Linked DNA regions of Styela clava. The main gene of each other region encodes a partner of the protein of the gene in region 2 in a complex. Links are inferred from orthologs where the notes say so. Each region holds a gene or a part of one and is shown on either strand. Other genes may lie near its edges. The genes, in order: splicing factor 3B subunit 2-like, G-patch domain and KOW motifs-containing protein-like, crooked neck-like protein 1 and cysteine-rich PDZ-binding protein-like.

Region 1 (8,019 bases), about 5.3 Mb from region 2:
TCTAAAAAGGGGGTGCGGCTTGAAAAGTTTGGGAATGCTTGTATGTAGTAGACCCTAACCTGGTACACATGGTTCCGGTGTCTACCAACTGGGTTTACATACTTCAATTTGTATTACAGTTGTAAAACAGAAAAAAGCTGAATGTCGGTCTTATTCCATCTGTAAATTTACCAAAATCTCCAAAAAGAATGAACAATGTGCCAGACCATGTGTATTTTCGATGAAATGAAAAGTGACATATGAAAAATACAGAAGCTGTAGAAAATATTTTGCATTCCAAAAAAATTAGTTCACATATTAAATATTTTACATTACAAAAAAATGGTGCTCCAGAAGTATGTGTACCAATATGAAGGTAACTAATTTTGTTCGCCTATTTTATATCAAGTTGTGTAAATGGACTAAATTCTATCGGTAGGGGATATTCACTTGTGTAACACAGACAATTCCCGAACTTTTAATAGAACAAAAATAAGGAGAATCGTAACCTAACCTGGTACACATACTACAAGAGTACCGAAAAAACAGCCCACATAGTAAAAGCAGTTATGGAAATACTTTACATTGCAGAAAAATTAATTCACATAGTAAATAGCAGACGCAAGATGTATTTTGAATTGCAGAAAAAATAGCTCACATAGTTAATAGCAGTCCTGAAATATTTCTCACTATTGATAACAAAAGTATAATTGCATCCAAATCAACAGTATCTTTATGACTATATAAAGGATCGTTAAAATTAAATGATATGCAAGAATCATATTGATAACAAAATGTATTCTAATCAATTTTAATATATCTAAAACAAATTCTTCATAAATATTTTTTGTAATTTACAATACATGAAAATATGTGAAACAAACTCAGGTTCTCCATTACATAATACACACGTTTCATTCCCTGATTTTCTTCCAATTTCTGGCTTTTGTTTTCAAAGGCAAGATATCCCAGAGTAATTTATAGTTAAAATCAGTATTTTTAATAGGTAAACGAATAGCTCGCAGAGCCATGTGATTCATATGGAGGACAGAGCTATGATTGTGAGAGGCCGTGGTTCGCCATATATTTAGGCATTCTTCTCGGCTTTCCTCTCCCATGGATAAATATGTAAATCCCATGTTATATCAATGAATAAATACATAAATAACCGCACCCCTCTAGGCGACTGGTTCATATTCTGTTCTGTAGATACGTTTTCTGCCTAATAATAGATATGCATTCTCAATAAGCATATGCTCATAGTTGTATGCTTTCAGCGTACCATACTTCGAAACCCAAAACCAAATATGTATTGAAGAATTACAGACCTCAATACGGCCAATTTCGCACCCGACTCGGCTGAAGCAAGGGATTTTGGCAGCGAGCAATGCGTTTTCTTAATATGCAACGAACCATTTAGCTGGACGACGTAAAAATGCAGGGAACAATACCAAAATGAGCAAATCTTTGCAAGTTTCCACTCATTGTATATATGCTCATTGGTAGGCTTCAAAGTATCGCAAACTGACGACGTAGAAACGCATCAGTCATGCGTGGCGAACCGGCCGTGAGCGAACTGCGAAACCACTGTGAAGTGACTCACGAACCACTGTGCACGAACTATGGACCTTTCCTCAAGCATCGACTTCCTTGTTTACTTCATGACATTGGCCAATCAGCAAGATGCAAAAAGTGACGTAACAATGTTCCCTTTTCACGCCCGCTCGGACACTTTTCTCACTCAGACAGATTTTCAAGCGTGGTCGTAAACATCACCTCGTTTTCGCGTTTTTGAACTCTATTCGTTAGTTTTCAGTTGTGTTTCGGAAACTTAAGTATGGATCAGATATTTCAATGATCACTCCAGAGCATAATGGCTCTGATCACTCTGTCTTCCTAGGAGTTTTAATTTAATTGCAGTAATAAAAAATCAGCGTAGAAATAGCTGTGCTAGACTAGGCTAAAATTCTTCACCGGTACTTTTAAAAAACGGATTGTTGTATGCGATGAATCATAATGATGGTTTGAAAAACATACCTTATTTTACAGGCGCCAACTCGCAAAAGCATTCTTAAAATAGCCCCGAAAATTTTGCAATGGTAGAGTATGGGAAGAATTTTTTGGGGGTCAAAGGTCGGGGAAAGGTCCATATTCAGTAAACTTTGATGTACGTCGACGTATAATACACGCTTAGCTTATAGCTATGTAGCCTAGATACGGTATGTGTTGCATAGTGTAGTGTTGCATAGATATTAATCAAAATACTATTATAGCAAACGATTCGGAATGCAAATCAAAATTAATCACAATAATATGCGGAAAATCAACAATTTGGGAATATCGAAATTCAGTAAAATATGATGAAATAGGTGGAAATTATTGTTATATGAGCACATGGTGCATGGATGATCTTTTACATAGGTCAATCATGATGTAAGTTTATATGCAACACCATACTCTGAAAATTATTGAAAGTATGTTATTTGTACATCATTCTCAAAAGAGGATGAGGTTTCGACTATGAAACATAGGCCTAGATGGCGAATGGGAAAAACCCAATATGAAAGCGTGGATTTTTCCATATTCTCTGTCTAATTTTTGTATTCTTGTATTTTTCATGCTAACTAGCAAAAAAAAAAAAAACAGATTACCTGTAAATTAAAATTATATTCAACTAACTGCTGAGTAGATTACATGGGGATTAACTCAACTTTTTTGGACATATATTCAGATATTGGATTATATTAAATTAATGACATCATGGTAATGGTATGAATTTTGTCTTTATTTTTATTTTTACTATTTAGCCTATGTACAGATGTATTGGGGGGAATGGGATTAAATTGAAAAACGATAAACAAAAACATGGAAACAAAAAACTATCAATTTATATATTTATAATAAAATGATTTGATACCAAAATATTAATACGAAAATTCCATTTGGCATTGGAATTTATTTGGCACAAAAAAAAAAAAAAAAAGCTATGTAGCCTATACAGCAAAGTGATAGTCACTTTGGTATACAGTATACACTATACAGGTATATTCAGATATTACTTGATCTGCGCAACGCCAGATCCTTGCTGCTTAGGAGGACGGGTTCATTGCGTCTCTTTTTTTTTTTTTTTTATAGTTCTGCGTAGTTCTGTAATTGCGTCTCATTATTTCCCTTTTCGTTCCTTCACTGCAAAGAGAGAGAGAGAGGGATTTTATTATCACAAACAATGCCAACACTAAAAGATATATTTGATTCAAAAACAGAAAAAAAAAAATTTCAATACTAATTGGTTGATCATTATATGCGAGAATGGAAATACCGGTACAGTGGTACCAGAACGGTACAGTATGTAGTCAACATGTGTAAGTCCTGACTCCTGAAGTCAGCAATTTAAAAGCGGTCTTACTAGTTACTGAATACAGCGCGAAACACCGCAAAACAGCGCAAAACAGAGGGAAACAGCGCAAAACAGTGGGAAAACAGCGCGAAAGAGCGCAAAACAGAGGGAAACAGTGTGAAGCAGAAAAATTTTTTGCAATGAGTTCGGGGCACCTTGTTTTGAGTTGGAGTACCACGGCAGCAAATTAAAAACACAAACCAACGTATGTAGCCAGTAATGCTGTAATGGCAGGTCTGCCCCTGCTATTGAGACACATTTTGGGTACCATAATTTAGAACATTTTTCATATGGATATGGTTGGCTTTAGGGTTAGGGTTAGATAAAAAGGGACCTCCAGAAGTATGTGCACCAAGATGGCGCACAACCTGAAAATAGTATGTGTGTGTGTAGCGGATTCAGGTTGTGCGACATATTGCTGCACATACTTCTGGAGCACCAGAAAGGTAGATAAAATTTCGCATGATGACCTATAATCCGGTACATAACCTTGTAAATATACCGGAAATAGCGCAATAAAACCATGGCGAGAGGCGCCGTGGTTCTTTCGTGGCAGGAGGTGGTAATGACTGCGTCTCCTGTTTTCCGCTGTTTCCCTCTGTTTTGCGCTGGTTTCCTTCTGTTTTTCGCTGTTTCGCGCTATTTTGCACTGTTTTGCGCTCTATGCGGTGTTTCGCACTGTATTCAGTAAGTAGTAAGACCCATTTAAAAGTTAATACCCGTACTGCAAGTTAAGGCTGTACAGCTGTATGGTGTTAATAGATCATATGAATTGAGTGCTGGCAGGACCAGAGAATTATGGCAATCATCATGAGCTTGCAATGCCGCTAGAGTTCAAAAAGTTGATAAACTTTATTTTTGTATTGAGACAAGTACTAAAGTAAAATCATGATGATGATATCTTAGACCAGGACCAGGAGTGTGTAACTTGCAGCCCGGGTGCCAAATGCGGCCCTCTAGGAAAAATTGTGTGGCCCGCGGAGAAGTGCCAATTTTTAATGATGTGCGGCCCGCGAAACGTTTTTTATTTTATTCAATACCGGTATGGTATGTGCGAGTATTCTTGAGTCCAATTTATTATCTATTCCATGACTTAACAGTTAGCTTGTGCAAACAATGTATGTCACAAGATCAATAACCAAAATTTTTGTGCCTGCAGCTACTAGATAGCCCATGTTAAGGTGCAACCCACGGTTTCACCTAGTTCAGTAGTTATTACTATCTGGCCCTACTGTATTGAAGGTTGCACACCCCTGTCTTAGACAATGAGTATTTATAAAATAAAATAAGTAATATTTATGTTAATTCTGTAATTTGGATGAAAAGAAAGTCAAACAGTCAAGAAAGTTTTTTTTTTTACAGTCAATGACCTCGTTTCAGAGACAAATAAAGTGTTCGCTTCATTGAACTGAATGTCGGGGGTATCGAGGTGTCTTGGAATCGAAGAACTGTGCCCCTACTGGATTAGATTAATCCGAAATCAAATAAACAAAGTCCGAAAACCCAATGTTTTAAAATATTGAATTCCTTCTTTAATTTTTTTTTCAGGATTTAAAAAAAGCAGTGAACGTGAAGACTACAATTCCTCTAACATAATTTTTGCATCACAGTTTCCCAGCTTAACCATTTATCTCAATCTTCTTTGATTTACAGATTTATATAAAGTAGATAGGTAGAGGCATAAAGTAGTTTGCAGCAACAGCATTGTATAAACCATGTCAAACAATGACATCCAACCTCCCCCTCCACCCCCTCCAATGATGGGATCATTGCCTCATGGACCACCTATGATGGGAGGCTCATCAGGACCCCCACCCCCTCCGGGGCCCACAAATATGATGGGTCACAATGTGCCACTTCCGATGAATATGGGTCCAATGATGCAAGGTAAGATTTCTTTTTTCAAATTAAATTGGTAATTAATGTTGATTGCGATTACATAGCACAATAAAAATCAACAAAAAAACAACCCTTGTTTAGCGAATTCTATTGAATATATAATTTTAATAGCAAGTTTTCTTCCAATTACAGGTGGACCAGATAATATTGGCTTCAATGACAGAATGAACAGAAGACCCCATCCAAATGTAAGTATCAAATTGGATTTACTACAACTTGTCATATTGCTATAACTTTCATTCATTCTTTTTGACGATGTAATAATTTTAGAGTGAAACACTATCTGTTCAGAAATAAATTTATTTTCAGGATGGTGAAGATATGCGAGGAGGTCCTGGAGGATTTGATAGACCTCCTTTCCCTGATCGCTTCAATAACATGCCACCTCGTGATAGGTTTGACGGGCCATCTGGACCTCCTGGTAATTTTGATGGCCCACCTGGGCCCCCGAATCGCTTTGATGGTCCCCCAGGAAGTTTTGATGGCCCGCCACCGAGACATTTTGATGGTCCACCTGGTGGATTTGATGGCCCACCTGGTGGTTTTGATGGCCCACCTGGAGGTTTTGACGGGCCTCCTGGTAGCTTTGATGGACCCCCTGGGTCAGGTCCATCAGGCCCTGGTGGATTTGATGGGCCACCTGGCGGGTTCGAGGGACCTTCGGGACCTAGTGGATTTGACAATCATGATGAGTATAGAGGAGAACCAGAGATGTATGATGGTATGTATTTATGTCGTAATATGCTGCTGAAGTTTTTGTTAATCTGTCATTGAATAATGGAATAATAATATGGAGCTAAGCTAACTGGTGTTGTGTGCTTGGTGTGTATTTATTGGTAGATTAGTGAAAATTTTATATAAGAATACAAGTTTTATTTCAAATCCTTTTATAAATATCAGAACGTGCTCCTCGACGTGGTTCTCCCCAACCTCTTATGGGACGTCGTGTGGAACCAACTAAGGATTTCGAAAGAAGGTTGAAAGAAGATGAAAAATCAGGCAAAAAAGGAAGAGATTTCAGGTTGCCAGCTGCACTGGAAAAAATGCTTGCCTACAAAGATGAAAGAGCAAAAGAGGTATTTTTATTGTGTGTTGTTTAATAGATAACATAGTGGTTAAAGTATTGAACGTAAGAATGTTGGCATTGCAGGCCAGAACTGGGTTTAAAATTCATGTCACTAATAAATTGGGTAAAGACTGCCAAACTGGGAAGATCTTATCGAAAATAGGACCTTCTTGCTTAGAAATGGCTGCTTGTTCAGAATTGAAGCCATATAAAGCATTTTAACTAATATGATCTTTAACCAATTCAACTTAGAAAAAGTTCGACTACTACTACTGTTGAATTTGAACCTGCTTTCAAAAAATATATTTGTGTTTACATTGTTATACCTCGAAATATCCTGTAATAGTTTCTATTTAATTTGAAATAGGTTGGAGTTTCGAATGAAGAAGTCAAAAAGGCAATGGAAGGAAAATTGGAACTCGAAAAAGCAACAGAACCAGCAAATGAAACAACAATGTCTGAACAAAAAAGGTATTTAGAAATGTTGTTGGTTTGAAAATGTCTTTATAAGATATGTACAAGTCTGGGACTTTACAACCAGCGACGCCTGCAAGATTTCAAAAATTCTCCCGATTTTGACTCTAAGTTAATGAAAATTTAAGACTTGAGATAATCCTATTTTGTTAAAAACTTTGGTCTTTCTTAATTAACAGAATGTTAAGGACAGTGTTGAACATAATTTATTTGAGTTTCTTTCTAAAATTTTGTCTTTAATTATAACCATTATCAAGTCTGGAATTCCGAATTTGGACTTACAAGAAATTCAAAATTTTGACTTGACTTTTGATAAATGGTGATGCAATTATCGCAAATACACTACAATTCATATTGAATTCACAATCCAGTACATTTTCAAAAACCAGAATCTCCATCACTTTTAATCAATATAATGAGAGAAAATTTTGATCAGGGGCTTAGGCTACCCAAACTTTTGAGCTCGCGAAAATTTCCTGTGACCCCTGTTAAGTCGGCATTGTTACGCAAGCGCACCGCTCCTCGGTTCTTACGATTAAAGCCTGCATTATTATATAAGCGTGTCGCTTTTTTGATCCTATGTATTCTCTCGAAATCATGAAATTTAAGTTTTGCACCAGTTTTTAATAATTGTGTTTCAAATCAAAATTCTAAAAAAGTACAATAGATATGGTAGCCTACTTTGTGTGTAATTGGTGAAATAGGTTTGAACCCTTAAATTCAATGCGCACCACCATGCGGGGTCGCGACCCCCAGTTTGGAAAGCCCTGGTCGAGGTTACTTCATGCAAGGAGACAGAAAATGTTAATCTTTCTGCATGCCTCTGTGTGACTAAATAATGCTACTTCCAAGACTTTCATATTTTAATATTTTTTCAGGCGACTCGAGGAAATAAAAGCAGAAATTACGAAGCAGTATGTTGAAGATACCAAACCCGGTAATCTCCCACTTACTAAATCAGAAGTTGCTGAACAAGCTCGTAAAGCTCTCAAAAACAGAAAGAAAAAAGAAAAGAAGAAGAGAAGAAATGTACAAAAGAAGAAAGAAAAAGAAGAGAAGGAGATAACAAAAGATGCTCAACCTCCCGCAGAGAAAGGAGAGATTGATGCAGTGAAACAAGAAAAAGATGTTGAAATTGAGTAGGTTATTGAATGGTTTTACATATGTGTTGGAATTAATGTTGGATAATATACACCAGGGGGGG
Region 2 (7,058 bases):
GTGTCTGCCCCACAGATAATGGCGAAAATGACGTACTGATTTAACCATCGCCAACAGCTCCCTCTCTGTTGTACAATACCGACGTTCCGTCTTAGATAGAGTCCTACTGAAATAAGCATGTCCCCCCCCCCTTGCAGTTGTGATAAAACAGCACCAGTAATACTCGCGTCGGTGTCCAAAATAAACTCCCCTTGAACCAAACGAAAAGCCAGAATATGAGCTGACACTCATAATTCACGTTTTTTTAATCCAACGAACCAGAGGAGATGCTAGGGTGGCATAACCAGATACAAAACGCCTATAATAGTCGGCAGTTTCCAAGAAACTTCTAAGATCTGATATTACTCGAGGCGTTTCCCATTCGACTATTGTTGCTACATTGGGAAGATCACAGCAAACTCCTTCGGAAGAAATTTTGTATCCAAGGTAGGTAACTGATTGCCAACACAACTGGCGTTTAGTCGGCTTATGTTTCAAACCAGCACCTCGAATGAAAATCTCCCTCAAACTGCTCAATGAGGCGTCAAAATCCCATTCGTGGGCTAAAACATCATCCAAATAATTTGAACAACATTTCCCGACTGAAAACGGTTTTCTTTTTGCCAGGCAGATCAACTTCTACCTGGCAGTATCCACTAGCTAAGTCAAGTGTTGAGAACCAGCTTGATCCGCTAAATGACCCCACGATGTCATCTATTCGAGTTAAAGGGGAACCATCTATGTAGGACCTGTAGGTAATTGAATTAGGTGCCTAAAATCAATACAAAAACGCGTACTACCATCTTTCTTAGGTATCAGAACAATTGGTAACGAGTGCGGGCTATCACTCAGCTCAATCACTTCTTGTTCAAGCATCTTGTCAACAGTGTCCTCCGCTATTTGTCTCCTTGCCCAGCCAAGACGCCGGGCAGAGGCGTAGCCAGAATATTTTGCTCCCGGGGCAAACTATAAAATTGGCGCTCCGACCTCCACGTTCAATCATATTTTCTATTACATTTAATTGTATATGAAAAAACAATTCAAATTTTAATGGAATATTTCATTTAAAGAAGAGGTAAAGCTGTACAAAATATAGCACATGTCTATTATGTCCCACTCAGTTACTGTCAAAGTTGATTTACATAGTCTACAATAAATTTATTTTTCTTGATTTCACTGTCGCAAACTGGTTAATCACGTCATCAAAATCTGTTTTTTCCAATGTTTCTTTCTCAACACTTAGAAGTGTTAGATCACTGAGACGATCATGTCCCATTGATGCACGCCAATACGACAAAATAAGTTTCAATTTGCTGAAAGACCGTTCACAGCATGCAATTGAAACTGGTATTGTTAACAAAATCTGTGGAGAAAATCGCAGATTCGGGAAAACGTCGTCACCAAAAGACACAATAAAGCCAAGAAAAGCCAAAGGAGTTTCTGGTTGACCTTCAGTTACTGAGCAGCATTCTGCAATCTCCAATTTCGGTGAAATTTTGGCGCTCCTGTACCTTGGCGCCAGGGGGCATATGTGTCCCTGTTGTCCACACCGAAAACTGGATTTGGAAAATCTCGTGCCCAATGACCCGTTTGCTTATAGTAGGGACATGGCCTAGAGCCGTAGACGGTGGTGTAAGAGTTGGTGGTCTGCGACAATCACTGATTCTATGTTCCACTTGACCGCATCTGAAACAAGGGATAATGGAACTTGGGGATACACGGGATCTCGTTGGTAATATCAGCCCCAAATATCTCATCGTTAGAAATTGCTACGGTTGCTACGGTAGCTTAAATTTGGTTCCCTCTTTTGTGGCTTGCCATGGCCTTTCATAACTTTAATATCTGGTAGCCAACGACATTACATCTTTCAACATGGCGGATTGCAAAGGCCAATGTGGAAATGAAACTTGTATAACCTTCACAAAAATTGCGATTTGGCCAAGTCATTCTTAATCCTTATCCTAAGGCTTCAATTATGGATAAGCTCGACTAGCTAGCTGTTTCAATGCACCGCCAAATTCATTATTGGTTTCTCTTGCCAGCTTCGCGGACTGACCGAAAACGGCTCGAAGCATTTCAATACCCCCTTCACTTCGAAATACTTTTTAAAATGGCGTACGATAGCCTCAAAGCATTCACGTTCGTTCACAATCAATTCAATGACTCAGAGCATTGCCTACCATGCAAATGCCTAATTCACTCCCCCATCGTGTCCACATATATCCCAACCATTAGACTCGGCTATAGCCTTAAAATGGTACAAAAATGAGCCCAAATGTTTCGATCAATCAAATTTATCCGGTTGTCGTTCCGGCCTGAACATAACCCCTCATCACATGTTCCAGTGGAACCCTTTGCTATACCGGTATCATCCTATTGACTAACATAACAATATCTAAGCCTATCCAGATTTAAACACATTAGGTCACCTATTTAAGAACTAGGGACAATTTTACAGACTTAAAAAGACCCAAGAACACTAAAAATCTAACTGAAACAACCGCAGCTACATTACTGCAATCCACAGCCTTCTCTAACAGGATAACAAAAGAAAGAGTGACAGTGCCGTAGCGTCTCGGTGTCTCCAAAGTTAAAACACAAAATATAGCAGTAATATCAAATAACAGCATTCAAAAGACAAAAAAAAGCATGTCACGCTTTAATCAACCAATGAGCATATATGCTCATTGATTCAACGAAATCGAGTAGGTTTATTTCATTTTTTGTCTAAATAAGCCAGGCTGATCGGCGCGGCCGATGGCGCATCGCATTCACTTGTCATAGTGTCACGGTAAAAAAAATGTTGCTTCTGTGGTTGTAGAATGTAGATGAATCAGAAGACTCAAGAATTCAGGATTGGTTGTTTATTGCACGGCAACTCCAATATCAAACTTAAAACAGCATAACAGATTACATCACTAAAGAACTAAAAAACACGACCGCCCGCCAGCGCAGCAGCCGCAGAAAAAAGGGGAAAAGACATAGGTAGTTTTTTTCTTACGTGTCAGTGGTCGGAGTCCAGATCCGACAAAACAGCATTAAACAAGGGTAAACATACTAGTCTATAAACATAAAAAAAATATATACACACAATGGACCTTTCCCCGAGCATCGACTTCCGTGTTTACTTCGTGACATTGGCCAATCAGCAAGATGCAAAAAGTGACGTAACAATGCCCCCTTTTCCCATCCGCTCAGACACTTTTCTCACTCAGACAGATTTTCAAGCGTGGTTGTAAACCTCGTTTTTGAACCCTATTCGTTTGTTTTCAGTTGTGTTTCGGAAACTTAAATAAAAATCAGATAATTCAATGACCACTCTGTCTTCCTAGAAGTTTTAATTTAATTGCAGTAATAAAAATTAGTGTAGAAATAGCTGTGATAGACTAGCCTGAAATTTTTTACCGGTACTTTTAAAAAACAGATTGTTGTGTGCGATGAAGCATAATGATGGTTTGAAACACATACCCCATTTTACAGGCGCTAACTCGCAAAAGCACTCCGAAAATAGCACTGAAAATTTTGCAATGGTAAAGTATAGGAAGAATTTTACGGGGGTCAAAGGGCGGGGAAAGGTCCATATAAACACGGACACTTTAGTGTTTAGTCCGTGACAATAGCACCTTTTGGGTAAGCGAACACGCACTACTTCTTGTATCAATACCTTCCCACCTAAAATCTGTACGCTTCAAACCTTACTTGAGGTTTGGTTTACTTTTCCAATTCTATAATCAGTTTTAATTATTTTGTTTTTATCAATTTTTTTATCGTCTGTTGCTGATTATGGAGTCGAAATAAACTTATCGTTATACCTCCGATTACCCTATGTGGGTTCGTAGAGGCTGCTTCATCACCCGTCGAGTCCATGCATCTGAAACAAATAACTGACTATCTAACCCCACACCCGACAAGAACTAGTGATCGGACGAGACGCTGTGGTACGCGATATTGTTAATCCGTCTCATCACTTGCACTAAATTGTTCTTTTCCGTTCTTACTCCTCAGTATCCTGTCACAACTGCTTTATTCTGTCGCGTGATGGCGCTATGGATCGAATTCATATTTAACATTATGTGTTAGTGAAGTCGACCGATGGAAGTTCTCAGAATATTCTAAGCCGATCTTTGAGCTTTCAGACCAAGCTCAAATCACGAGCAAATTACTGAACTACCGGTACCGTATCAGGTTGAGATAAAAATAGCTTTCATTGAATATGATGATTTTTAAAGGATAATGAAAGCCGCAGCGGGACAGCAGGAAGAGTATTTGAGAGCCGCATGCGGGGTTGCACATCACAGATCGAGATAGCCTAATCTATTTTGAACTCGTCGTACAAGTTATTGTCATTTTACACTCAGACATCTGAACATTACCTTGAAAAGCTATGGCTGTATGGTAACACATTTTGATATGTCAAAATCTACAGATCTAAGGAAATGACAGTTGAAGTTGAGACAATTGAAGTATAAATTGATTTTTGATTGCTTATTATTTCTTTAATCTGTTAATCAGTAAACTTTAAAATGAATGAAGTGAATACCAAACAGCAAAATTGAATTTTATATTTTCTTAGAAAATTAACCATTCTTATTGCTATATTTTAGAGTTTGTCATAATGTCAGTTTCCTTTGGATTCAAGAAGAAAATAGAATCCAAGGTTGTGAATGTTGAAAAGCCTAAAAATGAAGAGCCGGATTATCTTGAAACCGTAGAAGGAAAAGTAATAAAATCAACTAAACTTCAGAAAGAACCACCAAGGGATTTGGTTATACCCCTAATTAAACAAAATGTTTATAAAATACCAACATCTGTGAATAAACAAAAGACATCAGCAGAAAATGTTATCAGTAGTATTGATGCGGAAGCAGCTAAAGAAATTCTTGCAGAATCTAAAACATTTTTAGAAGATACTGATCAAAACGGAGAAGATTTTGAAAATCTTGCAGTGCCACTTCTTATGAAAAATAAGGTGCCCGAGGGATATGAAACTGATAATAAACTAGATGTATCATTGCGACCTGATGAAGCATCAGAGGCCCAATATGATCAAATCCCTGTGGCTGCATTTGGCATGGCAGTACTGCGTGGGATGGGTTGGAAACCTGAAGTGGGAATTGGCCGAACTTTCAAACAAAACACAGAAATGTTGCACCAGCAAGTTAGGCCTAAAGGTTTAGGTCTTGGTGCTGATGTGGCTACCCCAATAAAAGCTGATACAACTAAGACTACAAATCGAGATGAAACTCATATAGAGGAAAATCAATTAGCACTTGAAAAAGGTGCTAACGTATTCATTCACAGGGGCGCATTGAGAAACAAATATGGTGTCATTTTGGGCCTAGACATTGAGACTGCAAGATGTATTGTCAAAATGGCAATAGGGGGTAAATCTGAACAAATTGGACAACACTGTCTTAGAGTTGTTACAAAAAAGGAATATGATAAAAATGCGAAGGATTTAAGTAGACTTAGCAAAGCATATACTGGGGATAACATGCTTATAATAGGTAATGGAAAAAATACAGAGGAAAATGATAAAAGACGAGAATCACCAGGTTCTGACAGAGCTATGTCACACCAAAAAGATACAGATATGAAGCATAAAGAAAAAAGGAAAAGAAGACACAAAGAATATTCACCACCAAAACATAAAAAATCAAAGAAACATAAGTCAAATAGAGAGATTTCTCCAAAACAAGACTCAAATTCTACTCTCTCGCATTGGGTACAACCTCAAATGAGAGTCAGAATTGTTGATAAATCGTACAAAAAAGGCAGATACTATCTTGAAAAAGTAATTATTGAAGATGTTTTAGGTGGTGGACTTTGTTGCTGCAAAACGACAGATGGTAGATTGTTGGATGATATTGAAGAATCAATGTTAGAAACAGTTATTCCAAAATCAGCTTCCGATTCTTATATAATTATAGTGAAATCAAAATTCAAATCGAAACATTCAGGGAAACTTGCTAAAATTCTAGAAAAAGATAAAGCAAATTGTGAAGCTCTGGTTCAGTTAATTGAAGATAGAGATGTTGTGGTTCGGGTTGCTTTTGAAGAAATGTGCGAGTATACTGGCGATGTTGAAGCCAGTATGATGTTTTAATTTTGCCCAAAATAAAAAGCATTAATTATATTTTGCCGTTAGGTTGATGGTAAGATGTTACAGCGTTTTCAATATATTTTGGATGCCTTTATTGGAATTCGAAAACCTTATCATTTAGATATGTGTTTTATAAATTTAGATACGATTTGTAATTTTGTTCATTTTCTATAACCTGATGCCTTTGGATAAAAAACAATCTTATATCAACAAGTTTATCATAATATGATTTTGATATAAACTACTACTCTGCTAACTGATTTGATTTCTAAATTTATGCTTCGATAATTATCAATTAATCTCCTAAAACATGGTAAAATAAATTGACTAAATACTGTTCACACACAGAAATTTTATATCAGTCATCCAAGTATTGCCAATGTTGAACGAACGGTTTTCGATTCCTAATTTGACAAAAAATAGACAATACGAGTATTCTGCAAGTGATAATATCTCTTTATTGTTGCTTCTAACAATTGCAGATGATGAATTGTATTAAAATGGAATTTCTATCGCACTTTTATATTTATGTTTTGTAATGATGTCTTTTCAGTAATAGGGTAGTAATAATTTTTAGCTTTTATAAGCATTCCATCATTAAATTGATTGGATATACCTTCATCAATAACACAAATGATAGTGAAGTACTAACCAACCCTGCACTGCAGTGACTCAATATTTGCCTGAACCACACTGTGAATAGCTCAATATCTAGGTACAAACAGACGAAAAAAATGTCGTATCCACATCCGACTAATAATTACTACCCCCCTCCACCTCCAAACATATCAATGGATCCACTTCCTCCAGGTATGTCCTTAATTTTCTATTAATGTTGACCATAAATTTCCTGGTCCTGAGCTTTGATAATGTTTTGAATCAGGATGGGAAATGAGGATTGACGAGGCAACAGGATGGCCCTTTTTCATTGATCATAGAAACCAAACAACTACATGGCAGGATCCAAGGCCTCCAA
Region 3 (7,798 bases), on a different chromosome or scaffold from region 2:
AGTACGGTACCGTAATTCTGTAGTTCAGTACCAGTTATAGCAGTATAGTATATAGTTACTAGGTAGTTATTTAATCAAAATAATTTCCAGAATTCTCCACTTTAAATTTGTGTATATTATAGTATTATGGCAGTATGGAGTGTTCGAATAAACTATCTACCGAATCTATCCATGGATTTGTTCACAAAGATAAAACATTACACGAATAAGATAACTGGATAAAAGCGAAGAATTTTTGACTGTTTGAACTGAGCAAAAGCTAAAATGAGTTTTTAAACACATTTACTAGCCTTGAGCATTGACTTGACAGTTCGAAGAAGAAAGAAAACAAACCTCATCCAACCTGAACAATTGTGGTAGGCTACCTAATCCAGTTTGCCAGTAAGCATAAATTTTATAAGACAGTACAACAGTAAGAGATTCTGAGATTATAAAAGCTGAAAAGAGAGTAATATTACAGTTTTATAAGAATAGGAGATCATTAACTTACACATTGCAGCATTACACATTACTGCATTATGTCAGTATGTAGACGTATCGTCTCACATATTCTCGAACAAAACAATGAACAGGGTCTCAGGTATTTTCCTACCTCAAGTACTTCTAGTGGGCGTAGCATAACGATTTTTGACTTCCTGACTTCGCCATCCAAAAATCACATCACTACGCCATCACAATCATGTCATAGAGCTTGCCAAAGTATACATATGATCGCCTGAAATGACATCTGTGCCGACGATAAAGAACTTACTACTTCTCTCATATTGGAATCACTGCGGGCACTGTGACGAGAAATAGCTTGCTCGATTTTGGGTGATTGTCTGCGCGTCTTTGATGACAGTTCATATAGTCTGAAGGGCTTTATTATGTCACTGTGACGTTGTAGTAACATAATTTTCGGATAACGCAGTCAGGTGGGGGTTGGGATTGATATATGCAAAAATTGAGTGACAGGGCACTCATACAAACAATCAAAAAAATAATTTTTGGATTAAAATCTGCAAGCATATACCCCAACTCTATCTGTAAATGATTCAGCATGTATGAATTTTGTGATTGATTTATTCTGAAAAATCCATCCTTTTTTATTTAAATACTGCAATTTTGTTTTGTATCAAATTTATGCTATACCAGTAAAATCAAAAAATTTCAATTTGTTTTCTTAAATTTCAGCCTTCCATTATTTTTTGATCAACTATGAAGAAGTTTCATTTACACTTAGGCTTCACCACCACATGATTAAATCTGCAACATATATGTATATTCAGGGTTCCATATACCTTTGCAGCAATCATTTTATAAAGTCATATGGATGTGTTTGCATCTGCATACCCAGATGCCTGTTCAAGCATTGGAGCAGCATCCAGGGCAGGAAACTCTCAAGTTTTGCATGAACTTTTGATGAAGGGGTTGGATTACACGATCAAAGATAACAGGGGATGGTATCCTATGCATGAAGCAGCATTTGGCGGTCATATCGAGTGTGTTAAAATACTTTTGGAAACGGCAATGTCAGATTGCGAATCTACCAGAGAGATTTTGGATTGTGTATTCCCACCTGCTTTTGATGGAGAAACACCGTTATCTATTGCTTCTAGTGAAGGCCATGTTGAAGTTGTTAAACATCTCATGAGCTTGTACAAAGAATCGGAATTGGGAATTGACAAAATGGGATATCCTCTCCATGAATCCTGCAAAAATGGGCATAATAAATGTATTGAAATTCTAGTTGATGAATTCCCAATGCATGTTAACATGAAGGATTCCCGAAGTGGTGATTATCCAATACATGTAATTGTTGAAAAAGAAAATATTCAAGCAACAAAATTTTTAATACAAAATGGGGCTGATGTAAATGTGCAAGATTCAGATGACTTGAAGACACCATTACATGTGGCAGTTTCTATTGAAAATGAAGAGATTGTGAAACTTTTGATCAATGAAGTTAAGGATGTGAATGCAACTGATATCACAGATTGTACGCCCTTATATTTAGCTGCGCAAAATGGAAATGAAAATATAGTACGGTTGCTGTTAAACAAAGGTGCTGATCCATTAAAGTGCATGTATATTGATCATATGGGCTTAAAAAGTTTTCCATTAACAGTAGCAGCTGAAAAAGGACATTTTCCCGTTGTTAAATTGCTTGCAAAAATTACTCCGAAAGATTGTTGTATTTCTGCAGTTATTTTGAGTGCTTTTAATAGGCACAATGATTGTTTATTATATTTATTCAGAAAAGGATATTCAACTTTCCATTCGGATATTAAAATTGCAGGTGAAAGCGTATGGGATATTTTATTAGGCCACAACAATGGTTTTGAAAGTTTCTCAAGTACTGTTAAAATACTTATTGAAAATGATACTTTATTTTCGGATCTTGCGAGAAGGGAAGAACATTTGTATTTTAAATATTTTATTTTGCCCATGAGATTTAATGACGTTAATATTGTGGTCCTAAATGAGTTTTTGAATGCAGGACTACTGGAATTACGATTCAACTGTGAAACATTTCCTAACTTATCATATTCAATCAGCGGACATAAAGTTTTACAAGATCGCTTAATCCTAAATAGTCGGTATCCGCATTATCTGAGAAATCTATCCAAAATATCACTTTGTTTGAGATATTTTCCATTTTTATCGATTTCACATAATAGTTCATTGCCATTGGTGGTTGCAAATGTTGATGATCTTCTGCATGGAATTCTAGTTCAAAATGTTCCATCCTTGGTTGATTTAACCAGATGGGTGATACGCTGCTATATAATTAAAGTCAAAGGCCTCATTTGTTCCAAACATATTACCTGCTTAAATTTACCAAGAAAATTGGAAGATTTCCTGTTGCAATGTTAAAAAGTTTTGCTGTTTCATATCTGAAAAACATTTTAGTGATCACAGATGAAAACAGTATAATCATGCAGAAATGCAGATGAAATTGAAACATTCCCCAGTCCCCACACTGTATTAACTTAGGATGGGAACACTAAATATTGAGCTTATTCCTCATATGACTTGGCTATATTAAATATATATATCACTTGGCTTTCTAAAATGTTGACTATAATTCTTTTGCATGTTGATAAATTTATCTCAAGCAGTCAATTTTAATTTTTTACAATTTGTATTAAGCTACCCCACAATTCTGGTTACCCAAGTTCTTAGTGTAGTTTACCGTGGCACATTTGATTGTGGAGATTGGTTTTGATGTTAAAGATCATGTTATTAGCCCCATAACTAATTTCATTAGGTATGCTTGTTGAAACTGCCATAAATATATGCATGTTTAAACCTCTGATCGCCATGATATTGTAGGCTAAAGTAACTTTGGTGGGTGATTTAATGCTGCTGTGGGATGTGCCGACATAACTATTCCTGTATTCCTTATCATATAGAACCAATTTGTTTGGGACGTGACCTTTGACATTGCCTATCCAAAATGAAATATGTAGCTGGAGCTCCAGAAGAAAACCACTTGGATCAATTCTAGGAAAAATTTCTGATTTAAATCAAATTATTTGGTTAAGAAAATTATATTTTATTTTCCCCACATCAGAGCAACTTTTTTGCACAATGGTCTTTATGATTAAGCTATAATCTCTTCGCAGTCCTGTCCCTTTTCGCAATACTATTGAGGCTTTTTTACTCAATCATAAATAACAGAAGGTCTAACTTACATACAAATGAATGAATTAAATTATTGTATTTTGGTCGTAGCCAATTACATTGCAAATACTTAGTAGATTTCCTATATTCTTTGTATGATTTCAGGTAAAACTTACTGTTGTGGCATTAAGTCGTAGTGGAAACACTAGATACACTGTATTGTGAATATGTGGAACTTTTATTTTGTTGTAATTATGTATGTGACTTCACTTGGCTTAAGTCATCGTACCCAAACTGGCAAGTTCATATGCAAACGATGTGGTGAAACTGTGGCTCAAGCTGAAGATCTTGTTTCCATTCCAAGTAAACTTGCACTTCAAAGGTGGAACAAAACAATTTTAGGAAAGCCACATATAACTACACAAAAATTTGAAAATCCACAAGGTGCTCAATTTGAAGTTGTAACTTTTTCTGAAGCCTCTGTAACATCAAATGAAGACGCACATACAGAAGCGACTTGGTTTCCTGGATATTCATGGAGAATTTCTGCTTGTTCAAGATGTAATTTTTTCTTAGGTTGGAAATATCAACCAGTGAATTTTAATCACATGACATTCACAGAAAATGATAAATTTTACGGACTTATTATGGATCATATTATTCAAGATATTGATTCTGATTCTCTGGTCATTATTCAGCATCCGAATGCAAGATGATAATAAGTTCTTAGGTCATCTGATAAAATTATGTCGGGCAATACAGATGGCAGGATGGTGTCTATTTCAAACATGAAGTTTGAAATGATATAGTGCTACAATATAGTAGTATAGTATTTCTTGCCATTTAAAAAAATTTTCAGCCTCTTCAAAAATCGAATAACTAGGCAAGACACCTTGCATATGAAATTGATATACTTCTTGAAGAATTTTAGTCGAAAGGAAAGTGTTAAAATATCATTTTCATTTTAAAACAATAAAATTTCATGATCATATAAACTTATTTTATATGGTACAAAATACTGCCTTTATTATTTATCTTTATTTGATATTGAATAACTGACTCACTGTTATATATATTTATTGTAACTAAATCATTTTTCTGTCTGAAGTTAGAAAAATAATGAAATTTTCCGAGGTTTAAATGTTTTCCGATTGTGTTTTCCTTTTATCGCCCAACCGACCTTTTTTTCAGTGCAATCAATTAAAATTAACGTTCGGATTCTCTCTTTTGGTTTACCGTATATCTAATTATATTACGAGCATCCAATAGTATTATTTTGTTGAAATCTAAGTTCAATCATCAATCTAAAGTCAAAATGCATGAACCAACAATGGGTGGAAAACAGAAAATGCCCAAAGTGGCCAAGGTAACATATTTTTTAATCAAAGGAAACGGCATAGCTTGGTTTGAAGTTGCTTATATTATTGACTGGTTGTTCAGAGCCTTGTTATGCAGGGTTTAAAACATGTCATAAAAATATTAGTTAACAAGTGTTTATTTTTAAAATTTGTGTGTATTTTTCGTTTTCGACCATAAAATTATCCAATGATTAATTTGTATTATGTTTTATGGCTGAGCTGAAGAGAATTTATGAATCCGAGTTGTCTATAAAAGTCACATTTTTTTAATATGTGCAGTTTTCATAACCTATAAATTCATGGCTATTTTATGTATACCCATTATTCGATCTCAGGTGAAGAACAAAGCTCCAGCTCCTGTGCAAATCACTGCTGAACAACTTCTTCGAGAAGCAAAAGAAAGGGAATTAGAGAATGTTGCTCCTGTAAGTTTAAAACCCAAATTTGTGAAATTTTGTTATCTGATTTTCATTATTGGACTTGAAATATACATATGGATTGTTTGACAAATTGGTTTTGTTAAAATATTGCTTTTGGCAATGGATTTCAAATTTTCAATACTTAAAATATGGAAGAAGTCGTTAGAGGCAATTACGGTACTTCAGTCCGATGGTCCGATAGTTCACCTTAAATCAGGCCTGGGCAAGTTGCAGCACTTTGAGCTGTGTGCTAACACAGCAGGATATCGTTAGGATAGTCGACTCTGCGCTACCCAGTGTGCCATTGAACCTGATATTAAAGGAATTGTTGAAGCGCTACAGGGAAAACACTCTTCTAATTAAAAGTAACATTTGTATTATTTGAATGTGTAATAAAATTTGAAATTGCAATATGGCTCCATGGCAAAAATAATTGTTCAACCCTGCCTGAATTAAACGCTGCTGATTTCTTTTATTCCATCGGAACACTATATATTATATGGGAACGCAATCGCATGCCCTCTGACATTTGTGTCTATCACTGTCTATATAACGAACCTTTCTTTCTTATTTAAATATGATTTACATTTTAGCCTCCAAGACAGAAGATCTCAGATCCAGATGAACTTGATGAATATAAACTCAGAAGAAGAAAAGTATAATCTCTTCAAATTGTCTGTTTATACAGAAGTGTCTTGGGATATTTAAATTAATTTTTGTATAATTTCAGGCTTTTGAAGATAATTTACGAAAGAACAGAGCCCACATATCCACATGGATGAAGTACGCTGCATTCGAGGATAACATGAAAGAAATCCAGAGGTATTTGTCTTCCTTTAGAGCAGGGGTTCCCAAACCAGGGGTCGCGACCCCAAATTGGGTCGGAGTGATAAATAGGTAGGGTCGCAACTAGGTACAACTCATCTAAGATTTGACAAACCATGTTAAATTTAGCAGTTTGTATCATGGCTCAATGTAAAACAGGCACATAGGCATCACTCTATGCTTTTGTTATTGAAAATGTAGGTGTTTATTGTGACATCACTGTTGGGTTTCAGCTTATTTTCCTTAATACCACCACATGACCAAACTCAAAAGTCCAGTGAAAGAAGCTCTAAAGTTTCATGAAAAATATATATATATTGACCTGGGGTCGCACTGGACACTTGAAAGTTGTCTTTGGGGTCGTCCTGAAAAAAAGGTTGGGAACCCCTGCTTTGGAGGATTTTTTCTTGTTGCAGAAGCCCCCATTTATGTAAAAAGTATGGATTTTAAAGCAATGAAAATATCCTATATCTCGATATCTGTGTTCCTCAATCATCAATATAATTTTGATTGGCGCTCGAGTGAAAACTCATAACAAATACTGTAAGATGTATGATCAAACTATTCGAAGCAGTTTTTTCAAGATTCATAAGTTTATAACTTGTTCTAGTTACCTCCCATGATATTTGTTTTCTCAGGTATGTGCACTTCGCAAGTTGCCGAATTGAATAAATGATCACTCCTATATTATTGATTACTTTATTTTCTGTTCTTTTCAGGACAGCTTCAATATACAATATAATATTTTCTTTAAATCACTCTTATTTTTCAGAGCAAGATCAGTGTACGAACGAGCTCTGGATGTTGAATATCGAAATCTTACACTATGGTACAAATATGCAGAAATGGAAATGAAAAACAAACAAATAAATCATGCAAGAAACGTTTGGGATAGAGCAGTCACTATTCTACCAAGAGCAAATCAATTATGGTATGTGTGCGTGGCAATCTAAGTTTTTTGATCAGGGAGAAAAAAGAATGTTGCAGTCTTTGGTGAATTTCGTATCTGATATTCTGGCGTGTTTGGCGTGTTTATTAACACCTATGCTCAAGTATGGTTTTAAGCAAGCATTTATTGAAAAACACGAGGCTTCTGTGTCAGTGGAAAGAAAAAATTGTCTTTGTGGGTTGGAGTTTGAACTGCAGTTTTTTTACAGATTATCAACTTAAGTAGGCTATCTACTTCTTCTAATTCTAAATGGAATTAACAAATGGAGCAAAACAAGTTCAAACTAATTTAGGTCTAACTGTCAGAACAAAAATCTTAATATAACCAAATACACAAATCAATTAAATGATTGATATACACCCAGATGACCAAAAATACCATTGTTGCCTTCTGCAATTAACTGTCGTGGCGATGAAATGTGATGTTGAGATCACTCTACTTTGCAAATATAATTCAGTTTGTAAGCCGTCTCTCTTAATTGAATATTAATTTTTTATTAGATCATGTGATAATATTTTTCAGGTACAAATATACATACATGGAAGAAATGCTTGGCAATATTCCAGCTTGTCGACAGGTTTTTGAGAGATGGATGGAATGGGAACCACATGAACAGGTTTAAATTGGTTGAATTATTTTTT
Region 4 (7,910 bases), on a different chromosome or scaffold from region 2:
TGAGCGACCCCTTACTCCGGGCTGTAAATATTTTGACTCCTAACAGATGAGAAAATCCAATTTTGGTAAGAAAAAATTGTGTGTGCGTAATTATCGGTTTTTGGTATTTGCCTTTTTTATGATTAGTGTGCGTTTTGTTGACAAGTTTATGATGATTGATTGGCGCTCCAGAAGTGTGTGTACCAATATGAAGGTAACTAAGATTGTTCGCCTATTTCACATCAAGTTGTGTAAAAGGACTGAAACCTATGCACTCGGCTAACACAGACAGTCGCTGAACTTGTAATAGAACTAAAATAAGGAAATCGGAATAAAATTAAGGCCTAATCCTAACCTGGCACATACACTACGGGGGGTACCGATTGATTGGTCTAAACCAGGGGTCGGGAACCCATGGCTCGCGAGCCATATATGGCTCTTTTGGTGACGGCATATGGCTCCCAGAAAAATCTAATATTCTAAGACTAAGCTTACTATTGTTACAAGATTTCAAACTCTTTTATAGCCAATTTTGGCAGGAAATTCCCAAAACGTTTGAGAACGCGCGCCCAGCACATGTCTATGTTATGTGAGATAATCGCCAGACAGGCATTGTGACAAACAAGGGGATTCTGGAACATATATTGTGACATCACAAAGCGATAGAGTTTTAAAAACACTACGGAGATGCCTAAACGAAAAAGGGTGATGAGAATCGTAGATTTCAACTTGGGCTGCATGTGAGCAACCGTTCAAGGCCCGCAGCGACTACATGCAGCATCAGAAATCACATTAAATGTATATTGACATTGTATGTGTTGACTTTTGAGTAAACATTTTAGGCCTGATCAAGTGAAGAAATGTTATATGGCTCGCACGGAAATGCAATTGAAAATATGTATATTTTATGGCTCTCTTGACCAAAAAGGTTCCCGACCCCTGGTCTAAACATTTCTTCATTTGCCCTATCTTTTAAATCTTGATTAGAACCTGCAAATAGCCAAAAAGATGATCTTCATTACTAAAGGTCGAGCCAAACTCGTAAAAAATTTGTTGTAGATTTAAGATAATTATTTCTTCATTTTTGATGAATTGATTTTTGATTATGCAATCAATCAATTGAATTTTAATTATTTTTCCAGAATTTTTATTCTTAATTAGAACAAATATCTAAAAATAACTGATATAATGTCTGACGATAATAAAGCAAATTCTGAGCCAGCAGAGGGATCCAAGAGTCCGAAAATTTGTGAAGAAACTAAACCAGAGGTTGCAGAGGAAAAAGTTGAAGTCTCTACAAGCGAAAGTGGGGGTGCAAATCAAGATACAGCAGATGAAAATGACCCATTTAAAGATCATAAATTTGTAGTTCCATTTACGCAAATCAAAACTGTTTTGGACATGGCAATTTGGACAAAATCAAGCGGGTATGAAGACTATTTAGGATTTATAATGATGCTAAATGCAGCTATAAAAGGTAAAAAGCTTAGTGCTCCATGCGAAGTGTCTGAAACGACGAAAAAAATTGTCGCACTTTTGGATTTATTGGATAAATGGATTGATGAAACGCCGTCGATAGACCAGCCGCAAAGATTCGGGAACAAGGCTTTTCGTACTTGGTATGAAAAGTTAAAAGAAGAAGGTGAAAAATTGACCTCTGACCTTTTGCCTGATAATTTAAAAAGAGCTGCTTCTGAAATTGTGGAGTATTTACACGGGGGTTTCGGAAATTCCACAAGAATTGATTACGGAACTGGTCACGAAATGTCATTTGCTTGTTTTCTTTGTTGTTTTTTTAAGCTCCAAATCCTGGGGGAAAAAGATAAACTTGCGGCCGTTTTTCACGTCTTTAATCGTTACTTACACGTCGCTCGGAAGTTGCAAAAGACTTACAGAATGGAGCCAGCAGGGAGTCAAGGGGTATGGGGGTTAGATGATTTCCAATTTTTACCCTTTATATGGGGGTCGTCGCAGTTTTTCAGTCACCCCACGATTCTACCTGTTCATTTTGTAGAATCGAAAATTGTCGCTGAAAACCGATCAGAATACATGTTCATGGAATGCATTGATTATATCATGTCCGTAAAAACGGGACCTTTCGCTGAGCATTCAAACACTCTCTGGGGGATTAGTGGCGTCCCGCATTGGGGGAAAGTCAACTCCGGCCTATTGAAGATGTACAAGGCGGAAATACTTCAGAAATTTCCGATTATTCAGCATTTCAAATTCGGATCCATACTCACTTTAGATCCGAGTCCTAGACAACCTGGTATAAAGTTGAATTGAAGAAATAATAAGGAATAAACCTTTTTAAAAGACAAGTCTTTACATTAAAGCTTAAAAACTACCTCTGTTATAGAACAACGAATCAGTTTTTAAAAAATTACAGTGGAAATTTGAGACGCTTTGTGAACAGCATTTCCCGTTGAAGAAATGAGTCATTTGTTTCTTATTAATCAGTTATTTCTGTTTGGGACATAGCATGTCGTATATTTTTGCTCACCTAATCGTAGACAAAAACTACTAGGGCAGGGAATTCAGGCAAAGTTAACCACAGCGTTGTATTAAGTTGAACTTGAGCAATGAAGTGGATTTTTTAAAACATTGCACTTGATTAGCTTGTGTGGAACCTTATATCCGTCCTTATTTCTACCCTGCTGTCTCTATGGTAAATCAACAGCCCTCTAAGGAGAACCATTTAAATGGTAATTTGGACCACATACTGGTATCCTTCCCTGTTCATAACTTGCTGTCTCTATGGCAGCCCAATAGCCCTCTATGGTCGTTGGGACAATATATCTATCCCTATTCCTAACCTGCTGTCTATATAATATATAGCAATCAATGGCTCTCTGTGACGGAGGCAATTCAAACGTCGATTGGGACGGTATATATCCATCCTTGTTCAAACAATTGAGATTATGCAGTTTGAGTATAGAATTTCTATGTCCATATATGTAAGCAATATTCTTTTCTCACTTTGACTTTTACTTAATACAAAATGATTTGGGTATTCATCGTGATTGGAAAATTATGGTTCCATCTTTTTGGATTAGTTTTTTAGATTAATATTTTTCTGTAATTTATTCTTTATTCCAGATCTGTTGAGTCATTTTGAATGTTTCATATTTTTTTGAACTCTTCTTGACGTTTGAAATCTTTTGTATGTTTTTGCCATCAACTGTTTGTCCTTAGTATGCACGTTTGCTCGAAACAGAGTTTTGGGCCTTCAACTAAATGTGGAAAGAGAGAGAGAGCGAAGTCATATTTTTTATCAAACTAGAGAACAGAAATATAAATAATAATAAAATAAGAGAATCGAAAGTTTTCGGTTGATGACTGGTAGGTAACGAAAAGACCATTCGCGATCATCTAAGTCAGTTACCACCAAATACAAACACTTAGGCAGCACACAGCGTTCCTTTTCAAACATGCTAGTTAGCAGTGTGGAGCCCAGCGATCCTCCCGAGCATAAATCAGCGGTACGAACAGTTTGTTTGTACCTTTATCTATCAAGTCTAAATATCGTTCTTGTGGCCTATTAATTTATATATTATGGTTACTTTCTTTTAATTAATGAATAAATGTTTTTAATTGTTTTATTATTTCAGATTTATAATTTAACATAAATCTTGAAATATGGACCAAATAACAGACTCTTCAATGGCAGAAGGGTCAGATGGAAATGGCACGACCTCTGACCCTGATGTGAAAGGTGATAATACGGCAGAAGGAACAGATGAGATGGACTTGACCTCTGACTCTGAGGTGAAAGGTCACAGGAAGAAGAAACCATTTCCCAGAGAAGACTTCAACCCTGATGAATGGGAATTAGTCGAAGAAGACAATTGTTTAATCGAATTGCATGGAGTCGCGCGTAAAAATTATCTCAAAAAATGTGATAAAGATCGAGTGAAACTTATCGGATTATTTGATGAAAATGGAAAAATGTTTCTACAATTGGATGAACTTATTTTTATGGGTGAACCGACAGAAACGTTTGGCACCAACGCACTTTTTGAGGAATATTATTCCGACGGGGAGTCTAGTGAGGATGAGGACACATTCCGTACCGTGACACCGACTCCAGGAAAACAGAAAGTTAAATTACGTTATTTAACGCACACAGAAAAAAAGATTTCAATGTATAGGGCCTTGTTAGTAGACAAGACGGTAGATGAAAAAAGTGAATCTCAATGATTAGGGTTTTCCCCCATATTTGCTATTTTCAATTTTTTCCTGGGGGGAGATATGGACTCTTTTTCATCCTTTGATTTGTATTATGTTGTCATGGTTTTGTATTATGGCATTCATGGTATTATTGCATCACATTTTTTAAAATTGTACTCAAATTCGTCCGATGATTAACTTCCAATGAAATTGCCCTATTTTTAAATAACTCAGCCATTTATTTTTCATTGGATGCCAAATTCACTTATTCTGGTCTTTCTAAAAATTTTAGTTATTTTACGAATCAGTGACCCCTTTATATTGTTATTGAGTATTGTTCAAAGTGCAATGTGTGAAATGACATATGAAACGTGCAAAGTGTTGATATAGGGGTCTGACTAATAGTTAGGTAGAAGTCTCCCAAGCGCTCCAAAGTTGATTGAACGAAGCGGAAGGATATTCGCGGGCTGGGAGAGGGGAGCGCACGAATGCGGCCGAAGCCGTATAGTTGAATTATTATGAATATACATATGCCTAAACATGTGCGTCAGGTTGAGTCATCCAAGTCGAATCAATCACTGATTTCTTTTAGATGAGTTGGGTTACTTGTAATCTCTGATAAATATTGTCTTGACTCTTCAGTCCATAGCACTGGTTACCAGTCCAGCAAGGGTTTTAGAATATTTTGGTCACATTGTTATAGACTCATGATCTTTGGATTTCGTTTTTTAAATTATTTCTTGTTTCTTTTTTTTAGATTTTAATCTTAACTACTCTAGTTAATACTTTTGAATTCTTCAATATTATCTGCTGTCTTACTTAGGGGACAATTTTCCTGGACAGAATAGATTGAACGACTGGACAGCAATGGTTTGCGATAAATGTAAGTATTTTATTATTGTTTTCAATGGCGAGATTGTCTCATCTGGTGAAAGTAATAAGACTGTTTTGCCAACGCAGTGTTGGTATAGCAAATTGCACATCAAGCCCGTGCTTCTGAAAACAGATACCATACCCGACACAGACTGGTAAACGAACGAGAGGTCGGGGTTCGCCATATGATCAAGTCGTCTTATCAGCTTTTCTCTCTGCTGATATGAATATCTAAATCCTATCCTATGCTAAAAAAATAAGTGACACTACATGGAGAACAAAATTCCTCTCCAAGAACTGCAAAATTTTTTCTTAGAGAAAAATTTCTTATCGAACAGGGAACGTCAACATAAATAGCTTCTTCTTCTTGCAACTAATCTGAAACAATCTTGAGAAAGGATTACCATTCTTCTCAGATTCCTTTGAAATTAACCGTCGTGGTTAAACTTGGTATATTCTATTCACAGGTCAGAAAAAACTGGGAACAGTGGCGACACCTGATCCATGGAAAACTGGAGCCAAGAATACAAACGGTAGGAATGTTTTTATAAGACGTCTTTTGACCTGAACATGGTCTAATACAAGCAGCCATTACTGTGTAAAGGCTACTATTTATTTGGAAGGACCAGGATATTTCCGCTTTGTCATTACCTACCCAATTTATCAGACACTGGGTGTGGGGCGTGGGCGAGGGAACCAGAGATGTTCGACCTGCAGTGTCGATGCAGTTAATCTGTCGTTTTGTTCGTTAAACCATCGCATCACCCAGGATTGCTATAGCGTAGCAAATTTTAGGGGTTTAGCATAGGAATTTAGATGACAAGTGGCAACCTTTGCTAACCGGTAAAAAATTTTGTTGTTTAGGGGGTACATAAATACTTTGTATTTGGTGTAGCTTAACTTATTACTTATCGATCTTAAGATCGGTAAGTATGTTGATAGGTATTTGTCTGTTTGTTTTGTTTGTCTGTTAGATACACGCGATATCTCACGAAAGCAAGGATGAATCCGCTCCAAATTTTGCATATGCATTCATATCTCGGATCAAAGCCTATTGATTTTGGATGAATTATGTCGTATATTTAGCGAGTTATTAATTAATTAGTGATGAGACACAAGGTGTCACTGTGGAGTAAGAGCGCTGTTTTGGGGGATCCTCTAACTTTCGATCGATGAGTCTTCGGTCTCTGACCGATATTCTCGTGTTGTTTACTTATTTAGTATTGTTGTGAATTGCAATACAGATGCAAAATAGGCCATGGAAGAAATATAATAAGAAACCTTGGGAACCACTGGTCTACATAGTATGAATATACGGTGCACTCGACATATGTCTACCAAGATGGCGCACAACCTGAAATTAGTATATGTACCAGGTTAAGGTTCAGGTTGTGCGTCATCTTGGTTTGCATACTTCCAGAGCGCCCAACGTACAGTTTATGGAGGATGTTGTTTTTTCTACAGAGATGGGCAAATAAAGTATTTTCAGGCTCGACGGTGTGGCTCAACGGGCTAAGCGTTAGGAATACGCTCGCCACTGCACCTCTAATTACTCTACGTGGGTTCGCAGGTTCGAATCTCATGCAGGGATGGTTATGTGCGAGCGGATTGCTGGACTCCTCGCTGTCGTTGGGTGGTTCACGTAACCGCTGGTCGGTCGGTTACGACTTCCTCCACCACCAAGTCCATGCCTCCGAAAACAAACAATATAACTAATCACATACCTGACTTGGAATGGTAACCGGACGAGAGGCCGTGGTTTGCCATATGGATAAGCCGTCTTATCGGCTTTCCTCTCCCCCGGGATAAATATGTAAATCCTATCCTATTTCACAGAGGGGGGACGTAAGATCAATGAAAACAAAGCTTTGACTGGGACGAAGAATCGATACAATCCGTACAGCAGCGGAAAGTTTAAAAAATGTCGGATATGCAAATTACAAGTTCATCAAGTTGGCTCTAATTTTTGTCAAGGTAAGGTAATTCCCATTCCCCTCTTCCAACTTATGGTAAGGGGCAACCCTCTTGAACCACTTAGGATAGTCATCTTCCCTCTTGCTACAACATATTTGCATTATATGCATACGGATCCGCCAGCACAAAAGCATAAAAGAAGGATAAGTAGCCGGTCTGGCAGAACCGGTAAAATCGATAGTAGCCTACATATTTTCAATGAATTGAAATTTGAAAATGCAGGCATATAAACAATTTTATCTAACTGAAGAGTCCAGCTGCACACTAACACAAATGTATTTCTGTAACAACAATCAATTGTTGTAAACTGCTTGTCTGAGGATGTCTGAGTTTGGTCGGACGAAGGTTACAGAAATACATTTGTGTAAGTGTGCAGCAAGACGCATTAATTGGATAGAATAGTCATGTTTATTCCAGCTATAGCATCCTTGAAATATACGCATACGGATCCACTAGCATAAAGGCATAGAAGAAAGATAGGAAGTTAGTCTCGCGCAACCCAATGCAAATATAAACAATGATTTGATTGATTTTTGCAATTTCCATTCAAATAGATGCCTTCTAGGTTATGCTGTGAAACTTCATTTATAAACCTTAAATTTATTCGAATATTCGATTTTCTTTGGACATCCCTGACTTGAGTCTTTTATAATATTCTTGGAGGTCAAACTTCAAACATTCTTCTCCAACACCTATTATTAATAGTAGATTCTAGGATATACCATATATTGTTTTGTTCCTCACAGCTGTATTAAATGAAGTAAAAATACTTGAACAATTACTGATTAAAACACAACAAACCTGGTGAAGATATATTGAGAACTGACTTCATCACAAAATTGGAATTATAAAAGTGTTTTATGGACACCCTATATCGACGCATGAAATCCAAATTGGGCTAAGTCCATTTTTCT

What was found.
Region 1: G-patch domain and KOW motifs-containing protein-like (region 2) and splicing factor 3B subunit 2-like share a complex: the UniProt entries of both Homo sapiens proteins name them as parts of the minor spliceosome. The link is inferred for Styela clava from reciprocal best matches to the Homo sapiens genes GPKOW and SF3B2.
Region 3: G-patch domain and KOW motifs-containing protein-like (region 2) and crooked neck-like protein 1 share a complex: the UniProt entries of both Homo sapiens proteins name them as parts of the minor spliceosome. The link is inferred for Styela clava from reciprocal best matches to the Homo sapiens genes GPKOW and CRNKL1.
Region 4: G-patch domain and KOW motifs-containing protein-like (region 2) and cysteine-rich PDZ-binding protein-like share a complex: the UniProt entries of both Homo sapiens proteins name them as parts of the minor spliceosome. The link is inferred for Styela clava from reciprocal best matches to the Homo sapiens genes GPKOW and CRIPT.

The regions. Positions count from the first base shown.
Region 1 is NC_135251.1:20,765,493-20,773,511, reverse strand, and holds the start of splicing factor 3B subunit 2-like, read left to right. Parts: upstream 1-5,014; 5' UTR 5,015-5,091; coding exon 5,092-5,263; intron 5,264-5,407; coding exon 5,408-5,463; intron 5,464-5,584; coding exon 5,585-5,996; intron 5,997-6,175; coding exon 6,176-6,351; intron 6,352-6,708; coding exon 6,709-6,812; intron 6,813-7,693; coding exon 7,694-7,954; intron 7,955-8,019. UniProt on the Homo sapiens protein: Component of the 17S U2 SnRNP complex of the spliceosome, a large ribonucleoprotein complex that removes introns from transcribed pre-mRNAs.
Region 2 is NC_135251.1:15,497,555-15,504,612, forward strand, and holds G-patch domain and KOW motifs-containing protein-like, read left to right. Parts: upstream 1-4,049; 5' UTR 4,050-4,594; coding exon 4,595-6,085; 3' UTR 6,086-6,634; downstream 6,635-7,058. Other genes in the region: uncharacterized protein LOC120335364, read left to right, coding at 6,817-6,892, 6,966-7,058. UniProt on the Homo sapiens protein: RNA-binding protein involved in pre-mRNA splicing. As a component of the minor spliceosome, involved in the splicing of U12-type introns in pre-mRNAs.
Region 3 is NC_135255.1:8,359,198-8,366,995, forward strand, and holds the start of crooked neck-like protein 1, read left to right. Parts: upstream 1-4,792; 5' UTR 4,793-4,921; coding exon 4,922-4,972; intron 4,973-5,299; coding exon 5,300-5,389; intron 5,390-5,976; coding exon 5,977-6,039; intron 6,040-6,113; coding exon 6,114-6,205; intron 6,206-6,980; coding exon 6,981-7,139; intron 7,140-7,679; coding exon 7,680-7,773; intron 7,774-7,798. Other genes in the region: uncharacterized protein LOC120331723, read left to right, coding at 1,309-2,856; protein cereblon-like, read left to right, coding at 3,834-4,322. UniProt on the Homo sapiens protein: Involved in pre-mRNA splicing process. As a component of the minor spliceosome, involved in the splicing of U12-type introns in pre-mRNAs.
Region 4 is NC_135255.1:21,668,652-21,676,561, forward strand, and holds the start of cysteine-rich PDZ-binding protein-like, read left to right. Parts: upstream 1-4,894; 5' UTR 4,895-5,016; coding exon 5,017-5,032; intron 5,033-5,489; coding exon 5,490-5,555; intron 5,556-6,858; coding exon 6,859-6,996; intron 6,997-7,910. Other genes in the region: serine/threonine-protein phosphatase 2A activator-like, read left to right, coding at 1,168-2,265; general transcription factor 3C polypeptide 6-like, read left to right, coding at 3,619-4,179. UniProt on the Homo sapiens protein: As a component of the minor spliceosome, involved in the splicing of U12-type introns in pre-mRNAs. Involved in the cytoskeletal anchoring of DLG4 in excitatory synapses.